Arabidopsis thaliana: one gene and its partner. The protein of the gene in region 1 interacts with the protein of each later gene in a pairwise test. Each region holds a gene or a part of one and is shown on either strand. Other genes may lie near its edges.

Region 1 (4,000 bases):
GATTCATTTATACCAAAACTATATAGATATTAATTAAGTAAATGAATTATTTACCGAAAGTTTTCCAACAATCATATGAGCTTTGTAGAAAATATCTTTAACATCATCATCATCACCCCAAGCATCTTCAAATTTGGAGATCAAATCTTCAGTCACAAGCTCAACTCCACGTTCTTTAGCTTTCATTGCGGGCTGCCACGATCTCAAGAAACCGATAAACCCTTTAAGCGATAGCTTATGAGGAATGTCAAGCATTATAGGCTTCCCTTCTGATCCCATCCCTATACTTTCAAACGGAAACGGCAACGTTTTATAACCGTCGAAAGCAAGATTCATTACAGGAGTTCTAAACGGGAACGTGGAGTCCACAAGACGTTTCATGATGGAATCAACTTCAGGAGAGATGATTATGTCGTTGTAGACAAAAACTGCGATTAATCCTCCTTCTTTGCGAAGAACACGTTTTGCTACGTTGTAGAATGGTGCGAGATCGAAGTAGTGAACGGCTTGTGCTGCCACGATTAGATCAACGGAGTTATCTCCGCCGACTAGAGCAACCATTTGGTCTTCGGACATTGTTGTGGGAGTGTGATGGTAACTGATTCTTTCGTGTTTTACCGCTCGTTTTAACTGTGCTTCGTTTATGTCGGTTGCTGTAACTTTCTCGAAATACTCTGCAAGCTGCAATTAAATTAAACCATGGTAAATGTTGATTAACATTTTAGGTGAATAGTACAATGACAAATACCATTACAAATTTGAACCAAACAAATTTTTTGTTTAATAATTATAAATGAGGTAGATTAGTAACTTTTATTTTCTCAAAATAAAACAAGAGAAATCATGTTCTCAAAATGTGAAAATGTTAATAATTGGTACTTCATTCATAATCATCACTAACATTAGACGTTAATAGTATCGATTGAGATAAATCTATGCTCTAATTAAATCATAAACTCATTAGAAAGAAGCCATTCATCTTCTTCTCTCCTCTCAACTAAAGCTAATAAATCCATAATTGTGTTCTTCTAGAGGGATTAAAACGACATCGTTTGAGAGATCTAAGTGAAGCAGAGTACATAAGAAAGTGGAAACTTTTGGAACAAGATGGAAGAAGCTTACACCAATAGCTGCTTGACCGTTGCCAGTACCAACATCCCAAGCTGATTTGTGCTGACCGGTTCGAGCAGCAAGTTTCGTGAACCAATCGATCGGATATCTCGGCCTTGCGTTCTGGTAAGCATCCGCTAACTTATCCGACAAGGCAGCCATTGTTTTTTTCTCTGTTTTCTTGTTCTTGTTGTTCTATTGCTTTGTATCTCTGTATTGGTCTATGAGAATTAAGTCACTCATGTGTTGTTGTTATATACTGATTGTGGTTTTTGCAGTAGATGAGAAGAATGAGACCAAGTCAAGTTTTCAAAGTCAGCTCTGGCGACGAGTCTACTCCTTACCCCCAAGAATTGGTCCCCTCTTCAATTTTCCAAATCATTTGAATTTATTTCTTTTTTGCTACTCTCGTTGTATATAGTTGACTTTTCTTGAATCTCACTTGTCACACAACTACATTATCTTTTACGATTCTCAATCAATATATCTCTAATAATAGTATTCTGTTACAAATAGGAAATTAATTCAATAAAAATGCAAGATTCAATAATTTCCATTGTGAAAGACTGAAAGTCAAAGATCACAAGATATAAGACCAAACAAGCTGTTAAAATTATTTGAGGCATATATTATAAAGTTGTAAATTTACCTTTTTTTTTCCCCACAATTTACATTTCTTTTCTTATAGGCCCAGTATTGTATGGGCTTTAATTGATGGGTCGTATTCGGTATTCAGGATAAACAATTATATTTGGTATGAGTTTCGGTTTATCATCAATCAATATATTAGCTAATCTTCGCCGATTGAATCTTCATCATTCTCGATCAGTGGTTGTTACCTGAGAAACCCTAGATTTCAATTCCCAACACCTTAATTTTGTTCGACAAACCCAAGAAGATTCGATGGGTAAGAACGATTTTCTAACCCCAAAGGCGATTGCGAATCGAATTAAAGCCAAAGGACTTCAAAAGCTTCGATGGTATTGTCAGATGTGTCAGAAACAATGCCGAGACGAGAATGGATTCAAGTGTCATTGTATGAGCGAATCTCACCAGAGGCAGATGCAAGTTTTTGGGCAGAATCCGACTCGTGTTGTCGATGGTTACTCTGAAGAATTCGAGCAGACGTTTCTCGATCTGATGAGGCGGAGCCACCGTTTCTCTCGTATCGCTGCCACTGTTGTCTACAATGAGTATATTAACGATAGACATCATGTTCACATGAATTCGACGGAGTGGGCGACGTTGACGGAGTTTATCAAGCATCTTGGGAAAACTGGTAAGTGTAAGGTTGAAGAAACTCCTAAAGGTTGGTTTATTACTTATATAGATAGAGATTCTGAGACTTTGTTTAAGGAGAGGTTGAAGAATAAGAGAGTTAAGAGTGATTTAGCTGAGGAGGAGAAGCAAGAGAGGGAGATTCAGAGACAGATTGAGAGAGCTGCTGAGAAATTGAATGGTGGTGGTGGTGAAGGTGAAACCAGTGGTAATGATGAAGTTGTGGATGATGGTGATGATGAGAGGAAGAAAGATGAAGACTTGAGGTTGAAGAGTGGGGTCAAGGTTGGATTTGCTCTTGGTGGAGGTGTTAAACAGGTTGCTACGGGTAAAGAGAGAGGGGAAAGCTCGAAACTTTTGTTTGGGGATGAAGAGAATGACAAGGTTGAGAGAGGGGAGAAGAGGAAGAGAAGTGGGGACTCCGGGAGGAGCGAGAAGGAGAGGAGATCAGCTTTGGATGAGTTGATGAAGGAGGAAGAGAAGAAGAAGGAGAGGATGAATCGGAAAGATTACTGGTTGTTCGAAGGGATCATTGTGAAGGTGATGAGTAAGGCTTTGGCAGAGAAAGGGTATTATAAGCAAAAAGGTGTTGTGAAGAAAGTGATTGATAATTATGTTGGGGAGATCAAAATGCTTGATTCTAAACATGTGTTGAGAGTTGATCAAAAGGAGCTAGAGACTGTGCTTCCACAAATTGGAGGGATGGTGAAGATAGTGAATGGGGCATATCGTGGTTCGAATGCAAGGTTGTTGGGTGTGGATACAGAGAAGTTCTGTGCTAAAGTGCAGATCGAGAAAGGTGTCTATGATGGAAGAGTCATCAAGTCCATTGAGTACGAGGACATATGCAAACTTGCTTAGTTATATCTTTTAGACCATATCGGGTTTTACGATGCCTTGTATTTCTGCTTGAACCTCTTTTTTTTATATACAAGTGAAGCACTCTGTTTCCTGATAGCTAGCCGCGTTAAAAAGGTACTGCAGATGAATCTATTTCACACATGTTATTCGATCTGGTTTGTAGAACGAATTGTTTTATGTATGGCTACTGTGTAGTATCTTCGAGAAATCTTATGATGTTTTGAATGTGCGTTTGCAAACGAAGCTTGAATAGTAAACTCCAAGTACTGAGATGAAATGTCATGAAAGGCATGAAGTTAAACACATAGGCAGCCTAACTAGAATATTAGAAATGTTGCATTCGACATTTTAATAAAACCAAGTTATCCATTAACTTCTCTACTATATAAGATATCTTTGAAATTGTTCTCTGTTCTTTCATCTTTTCATTCTCTTATTTTTCTCGGTTCTCTTTTCTTTCTTTCATACAAACATATCATATGTAACAAGTTATTCTATAAGTTAAATCATATAAAAAGGTTTGAGTTTCTTTTGTCTTATGATTTTAGTTTTTACCATCGAAATTATTGACCTAAACAAGTTCATAAATTTGGCGATCTAATTAAGTAAAGAAATTTCAATAAATGTAGGAGACTAATTTTTTTTCCCCCCCACAAACACTATTTTATTTAAGTAATCGGTAATAAACTCTCCGCTAGAGAAAGCCATTCAGGAACCGATGTGCTTTCATGGGAGAAAAGACTTTTTCGAT
Region 2 (4,548 bases), on another chromosome or scaffold:
CACTTTCAATTTTAGAAGATGTTTAATTCTTGGAGGTTTTTAGATGGAAATGTGTTCATTGGATGCTTGATTACTCTTCCATGTGAAGGAAAATTCCTCGCTATGCTAATAAAAGCGTAAGGGCATCGGTTCTTCATGGATGATAGATCAAGGTGTTGTGGTTGATTGGAGAAGAGTATGACGAGTTGGGGTTCACGTCATGTTTTAATGGTCCTCCAAGGAATATTCTAATCCTAATCAGCTGAAGTTTAAATTTCCGGTGACCAAACTAACTCCAATAGACTATTTCCGGTGATCCTTGGCAAAAGGCATTCGGTACAACTAAATGTGGGTAGAAAGTTTCATGGAGGAGCTGAATCATTTGCTGACCGGCGGAAGATTTCTCCGGCGAAGCAGTGACGGGGCATGTGCTGAAACGTTGATCTACGCTGCAATCTCCACATTGCATACATGTGTCATCATATTGTCTATTTAATGTTTGCAATTAGTGGGCTTTTGGCCTCAAGTTGTACCTGTTTATGAAGCCCATTTGGGCTAATTAATAGAAAAATGTTTGCCGTTAAAAAAAAAAAAAAAAAAGTGGTTCGATGGTCGTAAATAACTTTTATGGGTTTTGGTCTTGGGTTAGAGAATTCAAATTCATGGGCCAACCCAATTTTCATTTTAAGTGCTTCTTCTATGATGACATTTCACGAAAATAATACAATGGATTGTCGAGGAAAGAAGTGATGTTTTCTGTAAATTGTTAGGCATTAGTTATTGGAGAAGCGAAATGTGAAATGCACATTGTTTGTTGGCTATTAACTTGCTTTTAAAGGTGACTTGAACATATTTGGTGTCTTATGTTGATTCCGAAGCTATGAGTACTTTTGATCAATCTAGTTTATGAAGTTACTTTTAGCATCGCCTTCTCGATTTTGTTACTGCCATCACATGTCAAGTTGGTTTTGATGTTTTGTAAGCATTGATAAGCTTTAACGAACAAACTTTTTTTTGTTATCATTACTGCGTATTGGAGTTTTGCATTACATCTTTTGCTTCTCTTATGGCTGAGCAGGGCCGGCCCTGGGCTAAAGTTGGTGAAACTCATGCTTTACGCGCCTAAAATTATAGATAATATTAAAGGGCATCAAATTTTAAAAATGTTTCGTAGTCTAGTGATTGTTTCATAGATTAGTGACTCTTTCGTGGACAGTTCGAACCTTACCTTCGTTTTTTTGAGACTTTAATTATAAATAGATTTAAAATGCTTAAGAATTTTAAATGAGCTTAAAGATGTTTTAGGCATCAAAATCTGTTGGGTTAGCCCTCTGGCTGAGTCTGAGCTCGCAGCATGCAATACTAATTTCTTAAGCTGCAATGCAGTGAGAAGACAAGTAAAACAAGATTAACATTAGCCCAAACTAGATTATTCACAACAAATGTTAATGACTATTACCTTGCTATCTTTATATTTAGCCTCTTTTGTTTGAGCTTAATTTTCAAAAATAATTTGCTTTCTGTCGGTTTAGTTTCTAGAAGGATTCGACTCTTAGTATCTTATCGGCTTCGTGAAGAAAAACTGTATTTCACCCATATATTTCTCAATCGTATTCGTATCTCACCCATGTATTCATATATCGTATTATAAAACAGAAAAGATATATAGATAAGGAAAAAAAACTCATATATATATATTTGCATATATAAAGTATTAAATGCAACAGCTATAGCAAAAAGGTTCTATGGTCTAGCGGTTAGGACATTGGACTCTGAATCCAGTAACCCGAGTTCAATTCTCGGTAGAACCTCTTTTTTTCACACTCCGGCCAAATTTTTTCCCCCGGCGATTTATGAACCCTAAATATAACGCCGGCCAACAACCAAAACTCGACGCTACTGCGAAATCTTTTTCTTTATCCTTTTTTTTCTTCTTTTTCGGGCGAAATGGAGAATTCGTTGCTTGATTCTGGTGAAACTATGGAGATTGTCGCTACACAAAAAATCGAGGAAACAGTGAAGAGCATACTCAGTGAATCTGATATGGACCAAATGACGGAGTTCAAACTCCGACTTGACGCTTCGGCTAAACTCGGTATCGACTTATCGGGAACCAATCACAAGAAGCTAGTCAGAGATGTTCTTGAGGTCTTTTTGCTATCGACTCCCGGTGAAGCACTCGTACCGGAGACGGTGGCTCCGGCGAAAAATGAGACAGTTTCTGTTGCTGCCGCTTCCGTTGGTGGTGAAGATGAGCGCTTTATTTGTAAGGTTGCGACTTTGCCTATTTGTTCTATGTTTGATTCACTGTATAGAGTAGAGATTGTGATCATCTCGATTTTGAGTTTTTCAGTGGTCACTGTAGAAATTGTTGGTCTTTAACTGTAGTTATCGGAGAAGCAAAATGCGACGGTTCAAAGATACAGAGGCCAACCTTTTCTATCGATTGGTTCTCAGGAACATGGAAAGGCTTTTAGAGGTAATTTGAAACACAACTTGGTGTCTTGGTCTTGACTATGAAGCTATAAGTAGCCATTTTTGTTTTAGATATGCTCCTGTTGATTTCAATTGTTAGATGTTTCTTCTCTGTCAGGAGCACATTTGTCAACTAACCAATGGTCTGTAATCAAGAAGAATTTTGCAGCGATAGAGGACGGTATTAAGCAGTGCCAATCAAAACTAAAGTAAGAATGTGTACCTTATTTTAAGTCTATAAAGATTCATGTTCCCTGGCATTGCTTTTAGTGTTTTATGGTCATATAATCATCGTGGCATAGGGCATTACTGTCTGGCTAGCAATGTAGGCTGCTTATCTTGCTATTAAACGTTATGCAGATCTGAAGCAGCACGAAATGGAGATACTTCTGAGGCTGTGGATAAGGACAGCTCTCACGGTTTTTCTGTTATCAAGATTTCACGATTTGATGGAAAGAGTTATCTTTACTGGGCTTCACAGATGGAACTCTTTCTGAAGCAATTGAAGCTGACTTATGTACTCTCTGAACCTTGTCCCAGTATTGGTAGCTCTCAAGGCCCTGAAACCAACCCCAGGGAAATAACTCGAGCTGATGCTACGGGGAAAAAATGGTTGAGAGATGATTACCTGTGCTATACTCACTTGATGAACTCCTTGTCAGATCATCTATACCGTCGATACTCTCAGAAATTTAAGCATGCCAAAGAATTGTGGGACGAGTTAAAATGGGTCTACCAGTGTGATGAATCCAAATCGAAGAGGTCACAAGTCAGAAAGTACATTGAATTCAGAATGGTGGAAGAGAGACCGATACTCGAGCAAGTCCAAGTCTTTAACAAGATTGCGGATTCCATAGTGAGTGCTGGTATGTTTCTTGATGAGGCATTTCATGTGAGTACCATCATCTCCAAGTTTCCCCCGTCTTGGAGAGGCTTCTGCACCAGGTTAATGGAAGAGGAGTATTTACCAGTCTGGATGTTGATGGAACGAGTAAAAGCTGAGGAAGAGCTTCTCAGAAATGGAGCAAAAGGGGTTACATATAGACCAGCCACAGGCTCCTCTCAGATGGAAAGGACACCGAGTCTAGGAACAACACATAGAGGATCTCAGAGCGTAGGTTGGAAGAGGAAAGAACCTGAGAGAGACGAGAGAGTCATCATCGTCTGTGACAACTGTGGGAGGAAAGGACATCTCGCAAAGCATTGCTGGGGTAGTAAATCTGATGAGAGAGCTTCCGGAAAATCAAACCGGATCAACTCCTCAGTCGCTGCACCTGTGGAATCAGAGACTCAAGCAACAACAAACAATGATAGGGGGTAGTAGTTGATGATTGCTGAAGCCAAAATGTTTATATCTCTTCACAGATATACTTAAAGAGGTAAGTCTTTTGAATACCGTTGATTCAGGATTCAGAAGCAGTCCTTTTATGACCTTTTTTCAGCTTGTCCATATGTCTGGCCTATTAGATTTATGACACTGAAATGTATAAAAGAAGAACAGAGAGATGACCAATAGATCAGTTTTGGCCTGATTTAATGTAAAAGTATACTTTTATGAATGATAATTTTTTTGTCAAAATTGCTTTTTAAATCCTATTTTGAGGAACCAAAATAAAAACAGAAACCTCAAAACTGATATACAAACAAATAAACTGACATCAATTGAGGTGACAATACTTAACACACAACCAAAAATTAAGAGTTTCTTTGTCCCAAGCGTTATGGAAGATATTCTCAGCCTCTAAAATTAAACTTGAACGTCGAAATTTTAAAAAGGACCAGATGGAGAGTAATATAAAATTAGCGGGTGAAAAATAGAAGAAATTAAAAGTTTCAGGGTGAAAAGGAAAAAAAATGAAACCTGTCAGACCGCCGTGCGACCACCCCGGCAAGGGAGAACCGAGCCGAGTAACCATCCTCTACAGCACCGGATGCATCCAAGGACAATCGTAGCCGTCAATCACGCTCAAGCCGCACGGTCACGGTTCATCAACAAGGGTTTAGGGCCTGTCTCTTGAGAAATTTTCTCAAGAAAACAGATGTACGAGCCTATAGTTCAAGTAAGGTCGTGACCATTGATGCTTTGTATCCATA

The links. The genes of interacting proteins can lie anywhere in the genome.
Region 2: the proteins of AT1G55460 (region 1) and AT4G00980 interact in a two-hybrid assay, tested with the Arabidopsis thaliana proteins (one large-scale study listed by BioGRID).

The regions. Positions count from the first base shown.
Region 1 is NC_003070.9:20,705,554-20,709,553, forward strand, and holds AT1G55460 (DNA/RNA-binding protein Kin17, conserved region), read left to right. Parts: upstream 1-1,753; 5' UTR 1,754-2,013; coding exon 2,014-3,249; 3' UTR 3,250-3,474; downstream 3,475-4,000. Other genes in the region: AT1G55450 (S-adenosyl-L-methionine-dependent methyltransferases superfamily protein), read right to left, coding at 55-681, 1,096-1,272. UniProt on the Arabidopsis thaliana protein: Promotes the copper deficiency response by direct interaction with SPL7. Acts with SPL7 in a common pathway to promote copper-responsive genes and alleviate oxidative stress during copper-limiting periods. May promote SPL7 function when copper is limiting.
Region 2 is NC_003075.7:421,959-426,506, reverse strand, and holds AT4G00980 (zinc knuckle (CCHC-type) family protein), read left to right. Parts: upstream 1-1,918; 5' UTR 1,919-1,926; coding exon 1,927-2,250; intron 2,251-2,367; coding exon 2,368-2,458; intron 2,459-2,572; coding exon 2,573-2,663; intron 2,664-2,814; coding exon 2,815-3,775; 3' UTR 3,776-4,029; downstream 4,030-4,548.